2 linked regions of the Callithrix jacchus genome follow. The protein of the gene in region 2 interacts with the protein of the main gene of each other region in a biochemical or structural test. Links are inferred from orthologs where the notes say so. Each region holds a gene or a part of one and is shown on either strand. Other genes may lie near its edges.

Evidence for each region.
Region 1: of the proteins of ITCH (region 2) and NFE2, one has a biochemical effect on the other in vitro, tested with the Homo sapiens proteins (2 studies listed by BioGRID, with this or other methods). The link is inferred for Callithrix jacchus from reciprocal best matches to the Homo sapiens genes ITCH and NFE2.

The regions. Positions count from the first base shown.
Region 1 is NC_133510.1:65,249,915-65,259,876, reverse strand, and holds the end of NFE2 (transcription factor NF-E2 45 kDa subunit), read right to left. Parts: intron 4,555-9,962; 5' UTR 4,499-4,554; coding exon 4,385-4,498; intron 2,915-4,384; coding exon 1,907-2,914; 3' UTR 1,642-1,906; downstream 1-1,641. UniProt on the Homo sapiens protein: Component of the NF-E2 complex essential for regulating erythroid and megakaryocytic maturation and differentiation. Binds to the hypersensitive site 2 (HS2) of the beta-globin control region (LCR).
Region 2 is NC_133506.1:4,794,506-4,804,887, forward strand, and holds the end of ITCH (E3 ubiquitin-protein ligase Itchy homolog), read right to left. Parts: intron 7,606-10,382; coding exon 7,506-7,605; 3' UTR 4,826-7,505; downstream 1-4,825. UniProt on the Homo sapiens protein: Acts as an Acts as an E3 ubiquitin-protein ligase which accepts ubiquitin from an E2 ubiquitin-conjugating enzyme in the form of a thioester and then directly transfers the ubiquitin to targeted substrates.

The sequences.
Region 1 (9,962 bases), on a different chromosome or scaffold from region 2:
TTTAATGTTGGAATGGACATAGTAGAGCTAGTAAAATTGAACAAAAGTAAAATATTCTGAAGAGGGAAGCTGTGTAACTCAGTGACTGGGAATATTGGAGACCACACAACTCCAAGCAAGAGGACTGTGTGGTGTCAGGGATGTTTGACTGGATTTTAACTGATATGGCTAAGAAATCTGAAACTTAGTCAATTATATTCAAGAAGAAAAAAATTAATAAAAATAATCTAGGCCACACAGCGTGGCTCACACCTGTAATTCCAACACTTTGGGAAGCCAAGGCAGGCAGATCATTTGAGATCAGGAGTTCGAGACTAGCCTGGCTAACATGGTGAAACCCTGTCTCTACTAAAAATATATATATTAGCCAGGTGTGGTGGCAGGTGCCTGTAATCCCTGCTACTCAGGAGGCTGAGGCAGGAGAATTGCTGGAACCCAGGAGGCAGAGGTTGCAGTGAGCCAGGATCATGCTACTGCACTCCAACCTGGGTAATAGAGCGAGACTCCATCAAAAAAAAAAAAAAAAGCGGCCCAGCACTTTGGGAGGCTGAGCTGGGCAGATCACGAGGTTTGAGACCAGCGTGGCCAAAATAGTGAAACCCCGTCTCTACTAAAAATTCAAAAATTAGCTGGTTGTGGTGACACGCACCTATAGTCCCAGCTACTCAGGAGGCTGAGGCAGAAGAATCGCTTGAACCCGGCAGGTAGAGGTTGCAGTGAGTCAAGATAGCACCATTGCACTCCAGCCTGGGCGATAGAGCGAAACTCTGTCTCAAAAAAACAAACAAACCGGAATTGGGTAGTGTTTATGTAACATAACCAGAGAAAAAATGTTTCACAGGAATATTTTACTCCACTGTGCAGCAGATTTTATTTACCAAAGTTTGGGTGTGAAATCCGAAATTTTGGTGTATAAATTCCAGTCAAGAACAGCCCACTCAGTCTTCTGAGAGAACTCTGGCACATTAGGACCCAGGCTGAGAGGTAAGCAGGAGGGAAGAAAAAAAGAAAGGCCATAGGGCCGCCTGTAATCCCAGCACTTTGGGAGGCCGAGGCGGGTGGATCACGAGGTCAAGAGATCAAGACCATCCTGGTTAACATGGTGAAACCCCATCTCTACTAAAAATACAAAAAATTGGGCATGGTGGCGCGTGCCTGTAATCCCAGCTACTCAGGAGGCTGAGACAAGAGAATTGCCTAAACCCGAGAGGTGGAGGTTGCGGTGAGCCGAGGTCGCACATTGCACTCCAGCCTGGGTAACCAGTGAAACTCCGTCTCAAAAAAAAAGAAAGGCCTGTGGGCATTCTGGGCTTTTTTGTGCTGGGAGGATTGAGAGAAGAGAGATCTAAATATCAGGAACCTTTGCCTATGGGGTCTAGCCAGTTTTGGCAGCTCTCCAAGCGCTAATAGAGCACCACCAGGGAGTGCAGGGATCTCCCGATCATCCATGACCCCTCACTCTGAAAAGGGGATGAAGGTGGTAGATCCCCAAACTGCTCAAGCCCAAATGTTATGTGTACCTCTCATACAGAGCTCTGGGAGGAACGAAATGAACTTGGTAAGATTCCCTCCCTACCCCAAACAGATAGTGATCTCAGCTTCATCACCCTCCCTCAAGAAGAAAGACACAGTGAAAGGCTATTTCTGTATCGCACTTTATAGACCAAAGCTTGGACAAGAGGTGGAGGCTGAAGACCTGAGAAGCTGAGTCAGGGAAGACAGATTCCAGCCCTCCCTCAAGGCAAGCCTCTTTGAACACACCTTGGAACTTCTAAACACCCATTCCCATTGTCATCCTCGTCTGGTCTAGAGAACTCAGCTCTTTCTGGCTCTCAGGGTTGGGGAGTACCTTTATCAGAAGGGAATGAAGAAAACCCCATCACCAGTTCCACCCCTCTGCGCCAGCTCAGTCTGTGGCCTCCATCTTGGTCCCCCGGGGCACCAGGAAGATGGTCCCATCGGCAGCCTGTTGCAGCGCATACTCTTCAGGAGAGTAGCTGTTGCCTGATTCATCCCGAAGGTGCTGGAAAATGTCACGATATAGCTCTGTCAGCTGTTGGCGCATGACCTCCAGGGTCCGGTCGGCCTCCCCGCGGGCCCTGAGAAGCCGCTCCCGCTCATTGCTCAGCCGCTCCAGCTCCCGCTCCAGCTGCACTATGGTTTCCAGCTTCCTCTTGCGGCAGTTCTGGGCTGCCACCTTGTTTTTGCCCCGTCGTCGGATGTCCCGGACTAGCGCCAGCTGGCTCTCTGTCAGCGGGTACCTCGCCAATAGCTCATTAAAGTCATCTACCGGCAAGTTGACAATCTTGTCTGTAGGAAAAGGAATCTTCATGGCCAAGGCCCGACGTTCATCCCGACTCCCTGCCTCCCCCCGTGCAGTGGGCTTAGCCCGCACAGGGCCTGAGGAGGGCTCTAAGGCCGAGGGGGTCTCAGCAGCTGGCAAGGTATAGTTGGAGTGGGCCAAGGAGTTGGGCATGAGTGAGTAGGGGTACTCCACTGGGTACATCTCTACATATTCGCTGCGCCGCCGACCAGCCTCTGTCCCCTCCAGCTCAAGGGATTCAGCATCGCTATAGTTGAGGGATAATCCTGAGTCGGATTCTGGGTCTTCTTGGGGCTTAGGTGGTCCCGCTGGCAGCCCAATGTCCAGGAGGGCTAAGGGGTCTGGGAGCGGCTCACTGAGCAGGCCTGAGAGGGTCAGTGGCTTGGAGACTGGTATAGCCATGTTGCCATAGGAGTATGGGGGATCTGGGACATGGGATGTGGATGCTGGGAGTTCATAAGGTGGTGGAGGAAGTGGGAAGCCAGCGTCTGGGTGGATTGAGCAGGGGCAGTAAGCTGTGGGTGGTGGAGGTCCAAGGTATGGGGCTGGGGCTTGGGGCTCAAACGATGGCTCACTTGGAGCATTTAGACCCTGTAAAGAAAGACACAAAGAGATTTGGAGATAGACTAAGGAAGAGAAACCAACACTCTCTAAGGACCAAGTTGAATTCTTCTGAAAGACCCAGTGAGATAGTAACAAGGAAACAAAGTTGCCACAAATCTTTGGAAGCTACTTGCAAAGTTGTGATACAGTTGTTCCAAGAAAAATGCAGTTTAAGATGGGGTGCAGCAGCTCACACCTGTAATCCTAGCACTATGGGAGGCCAGTGCAGCAGATTACCTGAGGTCAGGAGTTCAAGACCAGCCTGGCCAACATGGTGAAACCCCGTCTCTGCTAAAAAAACAAAAATTAGCTGGGTGTGGTGATGAACGCCTGTAATCCCAGCTACTTGGGAGGCTGAGGCAGGAGAATTGCTTGAACTCGGGAGGTGGAGATTGAAGTAAGCCAACATGGTGCCACTGTACTCCAGCCTGGGCAACAGAGCAAGACTCCATCTCAAAAAAAAGAAAAAGAAAAGAAAAGAAAAGAAAAATGCAACTTTGGCAAGAATGGAAGTCACTGAGGTTGGACTGCAGAAAAGACTAACATTGGAACAATTATGAACACTCCTTCTTGGAGAAGTTCTAACTGGGTTAAAATGGCTCATGTTCCTTTATTTCCTTCAGGAAGTCAAAGCCTTGTTCTCCAAGATGACCTCTCAGAACCCTTTCCTGCTGCAGTTATCTAGGGTTGAAGGGTCAAGTTCAGATTCTGGCCATGCCCCGGATGCCCAGCAGAGGGAGCTGCTGTGTGGAAAGAGTGCCTAGGGCAGATCCTGAGGGTGCTAGGCATGGTGGCAGGGCAGAAAAAGGGGTCAGGCGTGGGGCTAAGAAGCTCCTTGGGGAGCCAGCACAAGCTCTGCCCTCTCCTCTTTAGTCCCTCTGTCCCTGCCCAGGTGCAGCGAGAAGAAGAGAACATGCTGGAAACAAGGCCCCCAACCCACATAGGGGAGCAACCCTGCTCTAGCCCAGCTGGGGACAAAGGCATCATTGTTAGGCCAACAGACACCCCTTTGTCCAAGTAGCAGGAGGAGAGGACCCTGGCATAGTCCGACTCCCCTTCCAGAGGCCCCTGAACTACTGCTCTGCTACCTGGGGGAAAGCGGCCTAGTTGCTAAGGGCAGGGGGAGGAAATGAGGGAAGAAGATGGCAGGATCAGAGAGAGAGGTCAGAAGAGAAGAAGGTGAGCAAGGGAGGGAGAGCAGGAGTGGGAGTGTGTAGAGAGAGATGTGGCTGCTGAGAGAGCCTACACTCTCAATCAGACCCTTCCCTCCTCACCACTGCTCTTCCACTCCTCAATGTTCCTCAGTGCCTTCCATCCAGATCTTTCCCAGCCCTTCCTTTTCCAGTGCCTGGAGCATTACCAGCCTGATCCCTGCTTGCTCCCAGCTTCAGTGCAGGCCAACTCCCTGCTTCTCTCTTCTCTGACACACCCCTCCCCTGCCTCCCCCTCCTTACTCACCTGCAGCTCGGTGATGGACATGATCTCCTGCCAAGTCAGTTCCATCTCTCCTAGTTCTGAAGTACACAGCTGTATCACTCTGTTCCTGCTCTGCTGGGGAGGACACGGGGACATCCTACTGGGCCAGAGTGTGGTCCAGGTTCCCCCAAAGCCCAGATGGCTCTAGAATCCTGTGTCAAAGAAAAGAGGTGCTAGAGCAACACCTGCTAGGGTCAGCAAGTTTGCGCTACCTCCTTGGAAGGGATCCCTCTCCCTGGAAGGAGAGACCTCTTCCTCCCCACCCTCACTCATGCTGGACTCATCAACCAATCCCTTAAAATGGGGTGTGATCTCCACTTCGCTGACTACGGCCACAATCAATTCCTTTGGCAGCACAGGAGGTCTTTACCTTTTTTCCAGGAAAAATGCCCACTCTTTCCCCTCCTTTTTAGCCCCTAAAACTGTTTTCCTGGCTAGGGGCAGAGTCAGGTCTTCTGCTTTTCTGTTTTGCTATGTTTTCTTTTCCATTTTCTAGGGCAGCATCAGGGGTGCCCTCCTTTCCTCCTCTGTCCTCAGTGTTAGGTTCTCACCCTTTTCTTTCCAAGATGATGACAATATATGCTTGGGGATCCCCAAGAGCATGTTGTGGAAAGAGTCAAGCAGACAACCCCTCCCCCTCTCCAAGATATGGCCCAGGCCTGGCGGCTGATAGCAGCTCTGCCCTCTCCTCCTATCCTGGCCCTGGGCTCCCCTGCCTAGGCCAGATAAGAGGTTTATCAGCTGCAGGCAGGAGAGGCACAGAAGGAATGGGCTCTGGAGACACTGGACCTCGGTCCTGTGTCCTCACAGGGTCATTTGGTCCACACCCGAACCCATACAACCACAAGCCTTTCCTCTTCTGCGGTAATATAACAACCTTAGTAAAGACTTAGTAAGCACTTGTTAAGAACTGTACTGGGGTGTTGCAAGCTTAGTTTGTAAGATTGGTTTTCATAAAGATTCTAAAGGTGCATCAGACACCGAGACTGAAGCTGATAAATAAAAGCAGGATGAAGTCTAGAACCTGACTCTACTCAACTATAATGTCTTCTAGGCACTTCCCATCCTGCCCCTGTATCTCCATACTCCAAAGCTCTGTTGGAAATCTACATTCGTCAGTTCTTTCTGTGGAGTGTCAGTCTCTCTTTCACCTTCTTGTCAATATCGCTTTAGAGCCTTGAATACACTCTCCCCTCCAGTCCCTTGTCTTTTGACCTGGGTTCTAGTTGTAGCTCTGCCACAAAGCAGCAGTGTGATGTTGGGCAAGCCGTCTCACTTCTCTGGGCCTCTGTTTCCTCATTTGTAAAACCAGGGAGTTGGACAAGTTGACCTTGGAGGTCCCTTTCTGCTTGGAATTCTCAGCAAACCCTCTCCCCTGCCTTTATCTTCTCTGTCAGTCCCTCTCCTCATGCTACCTCCCTATTCCCTAACACCACTTTCCTCGAATCTGTTTTCCCTGCCTTCAGCAAGAGATTCCAAGTAGATTTGGCAGAGCCTTCCTGATCTCTTGGAGTCAGACACTGTGTGTATATTGCACACACACAGACATACCCTAACATATAAGTAAAGGGAAGCAGACTAGGGTAAAGGAAACATAGGAGAGCGGAAGCATTTTGGGAGGCTGAGGTGGGAGGATCGCTTAAGCCCAGGAGTTTGAGATCAGCCTGGCGAACATGGTGAAAACCCATCTCCACTAAAAATGCAAAAATTAGCCAGGCATGGTGGCACACGTCTGTGGTCCCAGCTACTCAAGAGACTGAAGGGGAAGGATCATTTGAACCTGAAAGATTAAGCCTGCTGTGAGCCATGATTGTGCCACCACATTCGAGCCTGGGTGACAGAGCAAGACCCTGTCTCAGAAAAAAAAAAAAGAGGCCAGGCAGCACAGTAGCTCACGCCTGTAATACCAGAGCTTTGGGAGGCTGAGGCAGGTGATCATCTGAGGTCAGGAGTTTGAGACCACCCTGGCTAACATGGTGAAACCCCATCTCTACTAAAAATACAAAAAATTAGCTGGGCATGGTGGCGCGTGCCTGTAATCCTAGCTACTCAGGAGGCTGAGGCAGGAGAATTGCCTGAACCCAGGAGGTGGAGGTTGTGGTGAGCTGAGATCTTGCCATTGCACTCCAGCTTGGGTAACAAGAGCGAAACTCCGTCTCAAAAAAAACAAAAAAAATTTTAAAAAAAAGAACGGAGGATAGGACTGTACGACCTCAAATTGCATGACCTTAGACCGCTCACCACAAGGATGGCCCATCACAGCAATTTAATATGGAAACTGCTCTTTGACTTACTACAAAATTAGTAGGAACTACAAATGATCCTTTTGAAAGAGTATCCCCTAGCCCTTGCCTCCATCCCCTTGTTATATTGTATCCCCATAGATGGGAGTTGGTGTAGGCAACTCTGCCAGTGGGCAGAGTGGGTGGGGTGTTTATGTCTGCCCAGGATGCCATTTCAACACCGGAACTCCACCCTCCTCCACCCAGGTTCTGGCGGAAATTGCCCAAAGGCAAAGTGAATGGAGAAGGGGTTTAGGGCGCAGAGACAATAACTCTTGCTTCATAGTTCTTTACTCACCCCAACCCCCCATTGTCTCTCCTTTTATCTTCCTGGATCTGACACTAAGGTGCAGTACACAGATCCTGCCCTAGGAGGCAGGAGACCTAGGTTTTCTGGCACTTAAGATACATGAGGCTGAGGTCGGTGGATCACCTGAGGTCAGGAGTTCAAGACCAGCCTAACCAACATGGAGAAACCCCATCTCTACTAAAAATACAAAATTAGCCAGGCATGGTGACATGAACCTGTAGTCTCAGCTACTGGGGAGGCTGAGGCAAGAGAATCACTTGAACCCGGGAGGCAGAGGTTACAAGATCACACCATTGGGGAGCAAGAGCAAAACTCTGTCTCAAAAACAAAAAGATATACAACCTTGGGCAAATTGCTTCACACTCAGCCCCTTCTATTAAATGGAGACAGGACTAGGAACCCAATTGCTGTGAAAGGCCTTACGTTGCATCTAGCTCAGGGAGTCACAAACTTCATTGTGTGCCACATTCACCTGAGCTACATGTAAAAACACAGATTCCTGAAAGCCACTTCTAATCTACTGAATAGAAACCATAGACCCAGGAATCAGCATTTTAAAAGTGCCCCAGTGGCTGTGTGCAGTGGCTCGTGCTTGTAATCCCAGCACTTTGGGAGGCTGAGATGGGTGGATCACCTGAGGTCAGGAGTTTGAGACCAGCCTGGCCAACATGGCAAAACCTCATCTCTACTGAAAATACAAAAATTATCTGGGTATGGTGGCAGGCACCTTAGGAGGCTGAGGCATGAGAATTGCTTGAACCCAGGATGTGGGTTCAAGATAATGCCACTACACTCCAGCCTGGGTGACAGAGTACAAAAAAAAAAAAAAAAAAGAAGAGGAGCAAGAGGAGAAGGAGACTGGGGGAGAGGGAGTGGAGAAGAACCTCTGGATCCAATCCAACCAGCAAGCTCTTGGGTGCGGTAGCAAGTTTGTACCAGGTGGCACATGGGGCAGGATGCTTTTCTCTAGACACTCAAGGATGGGTGTCTAGAGAAGACACTCAGGCATAGGTCCCTCTGGGTCTCCAGAGCCTTCCTTTCAGAGGACATGAGAGCTGGCAAGCAGTGGGACAGATCAGGGAGGTAGAATTGGATGAAATAGAACACCATAGAAGGTATAGAAACTGGAGAGATACTAGGAAAGTGAAGTGGGCTTCCCTGTGTTTTTTTGCTTTTAAAATAAGAAGCTCCTACTTTACAGTTTAGCTTGCATTTTGAGGCCACATGACTATCTTACTCCCACTGGGTTGTCTGTTCCTTCTCTTACTCCCCAACATTGTGGATCAGGTAGAAATGAGGTTGTCACTCCTCCTTACTCTTATCTTGGTGGTCCTACCCAGAAAAAGTTTTATCATAATGCCTAAGTACTAACAGAATGATATGGAGCTTCATGCTTAGGAATACAGAGTGGGGCCGGGTGCAGTGGCTCAAGCCTGTAATCCCAGCACTTTTGGGAGGCTGAGGCGGGTTGATCATGAGGTCAAAAGTTCGAGACCAGCCTGACCAACATGGTGAAACACCATCTCTACTAAAAATACAAAAATTTGGGCCGGGCACGGTGGCTCAAGCCTGTAATCCCAGCACTTTGGGAGGCCGAGGCGGGTGGATCACGAGGTCAAGAGATCGAGACCATCCTGGTCAACATGGTGAAAGCCTGTCTCTACTAAAAATACAAAAAAAATTAGCTGGGCATGGTGGCGCGTGCCTGTAATCCCAGCTACTCAGGATGCTGAGGCAGGAGAATTGCTGATCCCAGGAGGTGGAGGTTGCGGTGAGCCGAGATCGCGCCATTGCACTCCAGCCTGGGTAACAAGAGCGAAACTGTGTCTCAAACAAAACAAAAATTAGCCAGTTGTGGTGGTGAATGCCTGTAATCCCAGCTACTCGGGAGGCTGAGGCAGAAAAATAGCTTGAACCTGGGAGGCGGAGGTTGCGGTGAGCTGAGATTGTGCCTTTGCACTCCAGCCTGGGCAACAAAAGCGAAACTCCATCTCAAAAAAAAAAAAAAAATTCTGTGCTGAGCCAAGTCAGAAAAAAAGAAAAGAAAATACAAAAAAAAAAAAAGAAAAGAAAAAGAAGAAGAAGTAAAAGAAAAAAAGGAATACAGAATGGGGACCATTTGGAGAGGATGATGGAGAGAGGAGGGCATTTGGCCTTGGCCGCTGCCCCAGAGCTCTTCACTTCCTTGACAAGGGGGAACGATGAGAGGAGGCTTGCCTCAGGATCCCTTTTCTAAGGCTTATTTGACTATCTCACCTCTCCAGGTGTCAATAGGTGCACTGAAAGGATAGGGAGGGATTATTAAAACCTGGAGTCTGGGTTGGCAGGTGAGCAACCTGTTTAGAAAGATCTCCCCAGAACTCCCAAAGGGAGAGCGACACACAGAGATGAGACAGAGAATGATGGGGAAAAAAAGGAGGGCGAGAGATTTGAGTATCGTGAGTTCAGTGCTCTGGGAACATGCATGACTCAAAGAAATGTGTGAGAACAAGGGAGACGGGGACAAGTTTCTGCTATCCTGTCACTCCATCCCTGGACCCCAAACTTCAGTCCTTTGGTACCAATGTCTAGAGAATCCCAGCCCCAGCAGTTCTGATATCTCCTCTCTTCTCTTCCACTGCTTCGCAAGCCCCTATTTCCCAAGCAGCCAAGAGTTCCAGTTAGAAGCAACTGTGCTGGGGTTGGGATGCCTTCCATCCCTCTCCAGGTCCCGCTGACCTACTGCTCCTGGGCACAGAGAAGAGAAAGAGCAACGACAGGCAAGAACCCAGGGGCGACCCATCCAACCACCTGAACCTTGCGACGCTTCTCAGAGGTCCAGATATCCAGTGTTTCCAACTCCTTAGCTTTCCCCAAACCTTCTCAATTAGCTAGACAGGGCAGAGGAATGGAATGGGGTCGGGGAAAGGATGACATCATATACCTGGAAATCTGTTGGTTCCCCCAGGGCAGCCCACCAGTTGAAGGA
Region 2 (10,382 bases):
TTGCATAAAAAATGGGGTTAATGGTCGTATCCACTTCACAGAGCTGGGAGAAGGAAGCGGAGGAAAGACGAGATAACTAAAGCGCTTGGCAGAGCCTGCCATACACTGAGCTCGCAGGAAACGTTAGCAAGGTTGCCATCGCGCAACAAGGCCCAGGACGCTAGGCTGCAGGGTCGCTGTGCAACCCTCGCCCCACCATCTCTTCCCGGCCGAGTCGGAGCTCCTGCTTCCGGTCAAGGGGCAGCAGGAACCCGCCCCGCCTCAGCTCCGCTCTAGAGGCCCGCGCCGCCTGGGTTCCGCCCTCAAGTCTGCTCCGGCCCGGTCCCGGCCACGCCCAGCCCCAACCAATTCCCAGCCCAGAGCTCTGAGACCCCCTCATCCTCAGAGATCTGAAGGCCTAGCGTGGGGTGGTGGGCGGCTGCCAGCCACTAGCCCCTCGGCCCACGCTCACCATTTCCGACGGATCCGGTAGCCCCGCGTAGCCAACACTCAGCCCAGTCCCGTGCCTTTCTGCGCCTGCGCACAGGTTTCTGTCAAAACGGACAACGCTCACTGCCTATCAGGAGCCAGGGTGAGGTGGGGGCGGGAGCGCAGGCTTTAGCTGCGCCCGGACTCTGTAAATTTGCTCGACTGTGGGAAAGCGAAAAGCAAAGGAGACAAGCGCTAAAGTGTGGACAATTCCCAACTCCAGCCGTGCAGAAAAGATGCTGGTTCTGGCCAGAAGCGGTGGCTCACGCCTGTAAAACCAGCACTTTTGGAGCCCGAGTCGGAAGGATCGCTTGAGCCTAAGAGTTCGAGAACAGCCTCGGCAACATGGCGACACCTCGTCTCTACTAAAAAAAAAAAAAAAAAAAAAAAAAAAAAAAGGAAGGTAGCCGGGCGTGGTGGCTCGCGCCTGTGGTCCCAGCTACTGGGAGGTAGCTGAGGTGGGAGGATCGTTCGAGGCTCAGTGAGCCAAGATCGCGCCACTGCACTCCAGCCTGGGCGACAGAGCGAGAGACCCTAACTCACAAAAAAAGAACATGCTGGTTCTCGGTATCGGAAGGTGCTTTCAGCTCTCAATGGAGTTCTAAGCTGGCTCTGAAGTCCCTGGGTGGAGCGTGGTGGGAGAGTATGAAGGCGAGTGGGGCGGTTGCTGAGACCCCTTTGAGCCCAGACGGAGAGAGAGGCTCCCAGTGCCCAAATGCGCTTCGGGATCGGGCAGGCCAGGGATGGGGCTGGAGTCTCCGGGGAAGAGGCTGTGCAAACTCGGAGATGAATTGGTTAGGGCTGGCCTGGGAGTCTACAGAATCCGAGCTCAGCCACAGCTGAATCCCCGCGTTACCTAGGAGAAACCACTTCACATCTTTGTGTTCTATCCTGTTCTCACCTCTAAAAGGGGGACCCTTCTTACCAGAGTCCAGTGTTGTCCGGGTTTTCGTTCTTTAGCATTCTATTCTCGCAGGCCGCAAACATTTCTGGGTCCTCTAAGTAGGAAATAACTTCGGTTAAAACATGCTGCCGTTTAGTGAACCCTGTGCCACATTACTGTGCTGAACACGCACATGCCTTATCACCAGTAAGCTTCACCGAATACTTTATAAGTGCCTTTTCTCCCAGGCACTGTAGCTTGTTGGATTCAACGATAATCTTAACTCCAAAATTTCATTCCACGGTAGCTGCTCTTCAGTGAGGAAGGATTTGGTTCTCCTTCGAAATGTAAGTGTCTGCATGTTAAGAGGATTGACTTTTTGTATTAAAATACAAAATTAGCCGGGCATGGAGGTGGGCGCCTGTAATCCCAGCTACTCGGGAGGGTGAAGCAGAATTGCTTGAAATCGGGCGGGGGAGGTTGCAGTGAGCCGAGATCGCGCCACTGCACTCCAGCTTGGGCGACAGAACGAGACTCTAGTTTCGGAAAAAAAAAAAAAAAAAAAAAAAAGTTTTGGGAATAGATTTGATAGGATTTGGAGGCTAATTAAATGTAATGGCAAAACTGGTCACTCCCGGTGTTGTGGTATGTAAGTAGCAGTACAGCAAAATGGTTAAGTATACATGCTCTGGAGTCAAACCGTCCTGGATTCCAATCTGTACTTTCTACTTAATAGTTGTGAACATGATTCAATCATTTGGAGCCTCTATTGTCTTGTGAAACAGAAATCGTTCCCAGTAACAGGAAGACTAAGTGACACTGCACATAGCATATCTACTAGTGTCCTGCACATAGTGATAAATGTTGACAGTTGTTTTGGTATTAAGTGAATGTTGGTGTGGGGTATTGGTTGCTATGATATGGAAGACAAATAGAAGAACAGGTCTGAATTAGAAGAAAAGTAACAGGAGGGCTGTTTTTAGTGATCTTGCAAGTATGACTACAAATTCTCCAGGTTCTTCCCTGCGGGGTGCTTTGAGGAAATCCCTTTGTTCATAGCCACTCTTCACTTATTAACAGGACCCTGTTTACAAGGGATCAACAGTGTCCTTTGGGGGTTTATGTTTAAGGTCCTCTTTTCCTTGCCAACCACAAAGTTTCTCCTGGCTCCTCACTACAGATATCCTGATCACAAAGGAGTCCTACAAACATGGAAGATTCGACAACTGAAATAGGCTGGGAGAGACAGCAACTCCTAGAGTTATACAATGTTTGAGACACTTGAAAAGTCCAGAGAACAGCCAGTCAGCCACAGCTGAGTCCCAGTTTGATGCTTTGTAGGGTTTTGGATGAGAGACAATGGTTAATAAGAACAATTACTTATTCCCCATAGGTTTCCACATGCTGAGGGGGACATATCTTGTCCCTTATTCTAAGCACATTGAAACTACAGCATTCTAGCAGCTTCCACTGGACAGACTAAACAGCTACTCAGGACCTGGGAGAGGCCTGCAGTTTCTGTCCCCTAGGCCCATGTTAGATCAGCTGTATTAAAAAATTCCTCTTGCCTTAGTCCCTTTCCACTGGTTTTGTTTTAAATGAGAGCATAATCACCTGAGTTTCCCAATAAGAAAAAGGTCTATGAAGATGGTAAGCAGGCCAGCTGGTTGATAACACTCTTGGTAACAGTCTTGATAGCTAGCTAGTTGGTGGTTCTCTACTTAGCACTCCTGCCTGTGGTCCCATCTTTCAGTTGTCTCAGAAAACAATTCACATGGAGGCCTTCATGTTAGTCAACAGCCCCTGGAGATATCTTCATCTTCAACATGGGCACCAAATCCAGTCTCATCTGCGTAGCAATTTCTAGTATTTTTACTCATATTGTGGTAGGCCAGGTCTTAATAACACAGGTCTCCATAACAACTGTTTCAGCACTGACTGAGTGGTTAAGTTAAATATTAAAAGCTAAAAAAGTCAGGGCCCTTATACAAAAGCCCACCAAGGGTTTTGCCCAGGCCTTTCCTGGGCCTTGAAGCATGACAAGATAACAAAGGAATTAACAGGATCCATTTAGGATTAGACAAGTTTTATTGGGGGTCTGAAGGAACTTTTTCTGAAGGCCCCCACAAACAAGTTTACTGGGGGGTCTGAAGGGTAATCATTCACCCCAGCACCTGGATCCATTTAGATTCAGTAAATTTACTGAGGCTCCAGAAGAAGGTCTTTGGGACTCAGATCTTAGTTATAGATTTAAAAAAGCTAATCACTTATGTCTTTAGATGAATGCACACTTACACATAGACATACAGATTAGAAGGTAAATAAGCTCTGGAAAACTTTGTACTTTTGAGTTGGTCTGGGGATAATTTCCAGGCCTTCTCCCCATACCCATTACTGAAGTAAACTCCCTCCTTTCCCAGTTCATCTGCACCTCATTATTGGGCTGCAAGAATAAGGAGCCTGACCCTTGTTTTGGTCCGGGAACAATACCACAATACAGACATACTGTAACTTGCCACATAAAAAAGCAGAGAGGCAGAAGTCTATGTGACCTAGTCATTTTAAGTCTTCTCTGAAGGCGGGGCCGGGGAAAGAGTAAAGAGACCCCATCTTACCCATGACTAACAGAAAAGCATGCAAATCAAGGACCAAAAAGTTTAATTATAAACAGTTTTACATCTTTTAGGAAAACGTTAAGTGAGGCAACCACTGAAGGAACTTTATGAAAGCATTTGACTTCCTGTAATATTTGTAGCATTACCTGAGTATTAGAAGTAACAGATCAAGAAAATAAAGGTACTCTTAATACAGTAATATACAAATATACCAACAATTTTGTAAATAACTAAAAGAAAAAAAAAGGAGGTGGGGGCTGGAGATGCCAACAATACTAAATAGAAGTAGTTAACTCTAAAGGAGTTTAGAAAGATGAAGTAACATCCAAAACAAGAGGAAAAGTTTAATTCCATGAGTCAACCCTGATTAACATTTCAGATTATTAACCAGATAAGTAAAAAGTGGTAGAGCGGGCTTGATTGAAATAGTTCGTTTAGGATGAGAACTTTGTGTATAGTTGAACATGTTTCACTAAAATTTCTAGTCATTGGTATGTCAATCTCTTGATGAAAAATCAGTACCTGAATATGTCTTTTTGTTGCTTTAAGAGACAGGGTCTCGCTATGTTGCCCAGGTTGGATTTGAACTTCTGGACTCAAGCGATCCTCCCACCTCAGCCTCCCAAGTACAATACCTGAATTTTAAATAGAGTTATTGTAAGTTTTATGAAATGAGGTTCTTCTGTACTCTGACATAATAAAAGACAGAGCAGGAATTCATTATTATGAGCTGTTTGATCAGTTTTAAACCACTCCATTTGATCAAAAAAGTGAGGTCCTTCCCTCCTGACCAGGCTGTGGAATGCTGTCTTCCCCAACCCCTGCCCCCTGCAAAAGAGCAGAAGAATAAGGCAATTGCTCATTTTACTTTGTTTTTATTTCAATGTAACATGCAGTAAAAAAAAATAATAATAATTAACAGGATTTATTAGCATTTACAATGCTTACAAAGAGAAAGAATTCTAAAAGCAATTTAGTTCAGATTTAAGAAAAAGGTCTACGTAAATACTTACAATAAATCTATTTCCATATGTTCAGTTTGGACCAAAATTTAAGATAGCATTTGGTAGATATTTATGTCTGCTATCTATTTGCAGTATTTTTATATAACCTCTGATTCTTGGGATATCCAGCCCCCATTTTCCTAACACAGCAGGGAAGACATATACATGTGGCCACTTAAATTAAAGGGAAAAATGGAGTAGGGAGATCCCAGGCTGCAAAAATATATACAAGCATTTACCTTTTCCAGAACTAAACACTTCTTCCATAAAAATATTAAATAGCCAAGCCCTATAGAACTAGGGCCAGGGCTACTTCAAATATAACTATTCTGTATTTTAAAAATATAGGGCAGAAAGCCTTTTGGGTGATATTTATATATTTTCACACAATATTTCTAGGTCCCTAAATGAATCATGAAGCATTATATAGAACAAAAAAAAAATCTATTTTCTTACATTATCTCTTAATTTAATCTCATAAATCTCTAGTAAATATTGTAGATAACTACATTTCAGTATGAGAATTCACCTCAACAGGAAGTCTTTATAGAGGGCTTAATCTTCATTAGCCATATATTACGAAGTTCAGACTTATATAATGAACGGGTAGTTGGCAGACATTCGCTCTGTAAGACAAAGCAATAGCATTTTCCCCCCCTACCAACAAAAAGGCAGAGTCCCTACTTTTAACAACTAGGGCTACTGGAAACCACACAGTATTTCCTGGGGTACATGAAATAAAAAAAAACCACAGGGCTGGGGAGAGCCTAGTCTCCCAATTTACACTGAGTTTCTTTGATGAGGCAACCTTTTCACTCATGTAAGTCTCTGCTTTATGATGGCAGTGTCTTGGAGTACAGATAGCCAAGTTAAAAAAAAAAAGTTTTTATTGTTGTTCCAGGATGTAAAAAGGAAGAGCATTAGGGCCAAAAAAAATATTTTTTTCCATATGGAACAGGGTTCTGCTGCTTGTTCTTGGCTTAATATTACTTGTTCATGCTATGCCTCTCAAACATGGCAAAGTCCCTTATACATGAGCTATGAGGCTGTCCTCACAGTACAGCTATAATAGGGACTCAGCTGGCTTAGGCTTCATTCCACTGCTCATAAAGTCCAATTTATAACAGCCATCTTGACAGTCTAAGCTAGGCCAATTTAAAAGAATTAACTCCAGAGAACTTCAAAGTACATTAATCAGTTAGTAATGGAGCAATCTAAACTTAAAATAGTCATGAGAAAAAAAGAAAACCCTGCTAAAAATTTTAAGGGTAAAAAGAATATTGCAGATGAGGGATATCAAACCATTTCAGGACAATGTAAAGAATGGAAATGACTACTCCAACATATGTCAGAGAAATGATAAATTTGAAGACTTTTAATTCACAGAGAATATATTCTTGTAGTTACTGGACGTTATCTTCCTTTCTTTTTAGCCCATACCACAGCTCTCCCTCTCAAATGAAAATTTGATGTCAGAAGCTATTTCATTGACCTCTATTTGGACTAGAAAGCACTCTTGTCTTTCTAGTCTTAAACTCCTTAACAATAATTAAATATAAACTGAAGTTGTTGGATTATGATAAAATTATAAAGCATCAGTTATGTAGAACATATAAAAATCACCAGTGATGTCCTTAGATGAATTCAATTAAATTAATTCTAATTCTAGGTTAACTTTTTTCCCATTTATTTTTCCCCCCAAAAGAGACAGGGTCTCCCTATGTGGCCCAGGCTGGTCCTGAACTCCTGTCCTCAAGGGATCCTTCTGCCTCAGCCTCCCAAGGTGCTAGGATTCCACGCCTGGCCCTAGGTTAACTTAAAACAACAACGAAGGAATCACAGTGTTAATATTGTTCGTAAAGTGTAGTATTTGCCAGGCAACTAAAACAATCAAACTTCCAAATGAAATTATTTAGAGGCTGTGACCAACTTTTCCCTGAATTCAAATTGACAAAACTACTTTGTAGAGAGATGCAGTAGTTTTGCATCACTTCCAGGAATGATGTATGGATTCATGCTCCAGAAAGGAAAGACAATAGTCAAGTCAGACTAAAATGAGGAGAACACAAGCCAAAATTTTGCTCACATCCCCAGAAGCTGGGGTAAGTTTGCACTTTTAACAAATGCCTCATCCCAAGAGGCTTAATAGGAAGATCTTGTATATTGCAGTTACCAAAGGACTTCCCTGCTTATCTCCAGAATTTGTAAAAGAAAAAAACCTACTCCCAAGTGAAACTTTTGACCTATATACAAAATTGTTAAGGGAACAAACTAGTGGAATAAGACAAGGCAGATTTCATTGCTGTGTTAAAATTTCATGTTAAGCAAAGTTTTGACTAGTCATTTGCAGACCTGATTTCTGGAAATGGTGAGTAGAAATCACTGGGTGATAAATTTTAATGATAACATTAATTTACTTACACTCAGATAACTCTCTAAAGAGCCACAGTCCAATTTTACAAGATGTGCAACAGGCAGAGAAGAACAAACATTGCAAACAAGTTCTTGCCCATTCACGATGCAAGTTCTCAGAAGTTACTCTTGTCCAAATCCTTCTGTTTCTTCTATGGCAAACAACAGCTTTTCTTTCAGTTGCTCATAGCTCTTGTATGGTGGCAGGTCCAGGCGATTAAAACTAAAAGCAAGAATTGTTAGTTTGAGAAAAGGAAATATGCAAAGAATCAAATGAGTAGTGTAGTATAACACCACTCCTATAGAAGCACAAAAATAAACTACTGTGCTTCAAAGGATACCGTCACGAAAGTGAAATAACTCAAAAATGGAAAAAAATATTTATAAATCATATATCTGATAAAGAACTGCTATCTAAAATATATAAAAAACTTAGAATTCAACAATATTTAAAAATGGGTAAAGGATACATTTCTCCAAAGGAGATATACAAATGACCAATAAACACATGAAAACAATGCTCAACATCCTTAGTCATTAGGTAAATGCAAATAAGATACACTTCACACCTACTGGGATGGCTATTATTTAAAACAACAACAACAAAAAGAAGAAAACAAGAGTTGAAAAGGATGTGAGGATGTGGAGAAATCAGAGCTTTTCTGCACTACTAGTAAGAATATAAAGGAGTGTAGCCCCTATGGAAAGCAGTATGGCGAGATTTCCCCCCCCAAAAAAAATTAAAAATAGAATTACTATACAATCATGCAGTTCTACCTCTGGGTATATACCTAAAACAATTGAAAGCAGGGACATGGGTAGATATACCTATATTCTACCACAGTATACCTATGTTTATAGCAGCATTATTCAAAATAGCCAAAAGGTGGAAATAACCTGTGTCCAGGGAGAGATGAATATACAAACAAAATGTAGTATATTCAGACTATCAAGTATTATTTACCATTAAAAAGGAGGAAATGCTGACACATGTTACAACATGGATGAAAATTAAAGATACTATTCTAAGTGAAATAAGCCAGTCACAAAAGGACAAATAAGGTATGATTCTACACTTAAGAAGTACTAAAGATAGTCAAAAATCATAGAAACAGTAGTAGAATGATGATTGCCAGGACCTGGGGAGAGGGAGTCATGGGGAGTTATTGTTTAAAGCAGCAGTCTCCAACCTTTTTGGCAACAGGGAATGTTTTTGTGGAAGACAATTTTTCCATGGACAGGAGTGGGGAGGGAGGTGGTTTCGGAAAGAAACTGTTCCACCTGAGATCATTGGATTCTCATAAGAAATGCGCAATCTATATTCCTCACAAGTACAGTTCATAACAGGGTACTTGCTCCTATGAGAATCTAATGCCTCTGCTGAACTGGCAAGTGGCAAAGATCAGCAAGTAATGCTCACTCACCCTCTGCTCACCTCCTGCTGTGCAGCCCAGTTCCTAACAGGCTGGGACCAGGACTTGAGGAACCCTGCTTTAGTGGGTACTATTTCAATTTTGCAAGATGAAAAGTTTTGGGTCAGGACAGTGGCCTATAATCCCAGCACTTTGGGAGACCAAGGCAGGAGTACTGCTTGAGCTCAGGAGGCCAATACCAGCCTGAACAACAAAGTGAGATTCTGTCTCTACAAAAAGTTAGAAATTAGCCAGGTGTGGTAGCACACACCTGTAGTCCCAGCTACTTGGGAGGCCAAGGTGGGAGGATCACTTGAGCCTGGGAGGTGGAGGCTGCATGAGTGAAGACCGAGCTACTTACTGTACTCCAAGTCTGGGTGACAGAGTGAGGTATGTCTCAAAAAAAAAGAAAAGAAACAATTTTTGGACATGAATGGTGGAGATGGCTGCATAATGATGTGAATGTACTTAATACCACTGAATGATAAACACAAATGGTAAATTCTATGTTATGTATATTAAACACAACAATTTTAAAAAGGAATGAAATACTGATATATGCTAGACTATGGGTGAACATTGAAAACATGCTAAGTAAAAGAAACTACACACAAAAAAGTTATATATTTGGCTGGGCATGGTGGCTCATGCCTGTAATCCCAGCACTTTGGGAGGCCAAGGTGGGTGGATCACCAGGTCTGGAGTTCAAGACCAGCCTGGCCAACATGGTGAAACCCTGTCTCTACTAAAAACAAAAAATTAGCCATGCGTGGTGGTGCACGCCTGTAGTCCCAGGTACTCAGGAGGCTGAGGCAGGAGACTCACTTGAACCCAGGAGGCAGAGGTTGCAGTGAGCTGAGCTTGTGCCACCGTACCCCAGCCTGAGCAACATAGCAAGACTCTGTCTCAAAAAAAAGGTCATATATTTATTGTGATTCATTTTACATGAAATGCACAGAAAAGAAAAATTCATAGAGACAGAAAGTAGATTAGTGGTTACCAAGGACTGCACAGGGGGTAAATGGGGAGTGACTGCTAATGGGTACATGGATTTTGGGGAACGTAAAAAAATGTTCTGGAATTAGATAGTAGTGATGCTCACATAACCTCGTAAATACACTAAAAACCACTGAACTCTACTGTATAATTTAAGAGGGTAAGTTTTTATATAGCAATAAAATTCTTACTAAAACATTACATGTATATATAAAACATGTATAAAAACAAACAGGAATAGACAATAAAACAGTAAAGAGGTCAGATGTCCAGCAAGGACCATATATGATCACTAAAATATATTGTTATTAGGTTGAATTCCAAAGTATTAATACATTTGCTCTAAGGTAAGGATTAGATTTGGTTTTCTACATTTCTAGAAATGTAATTAAATTAGATTTAAAATGAGAGTATTTGTGGTCATGATCTTATAAAGTAGATCTCCTAACTTTGACTTCTTTTTCTGCTTTTAGAGAAAAGTTAAAAGAATTCTAAATCCCACATTAAAAAAAAAATTCAGATGTGAAAAAAGGAATTGTTTGCAAATAGTTTTAAGAAATCATTTTGGGGTAAACAAAATGCTCTAAAACAG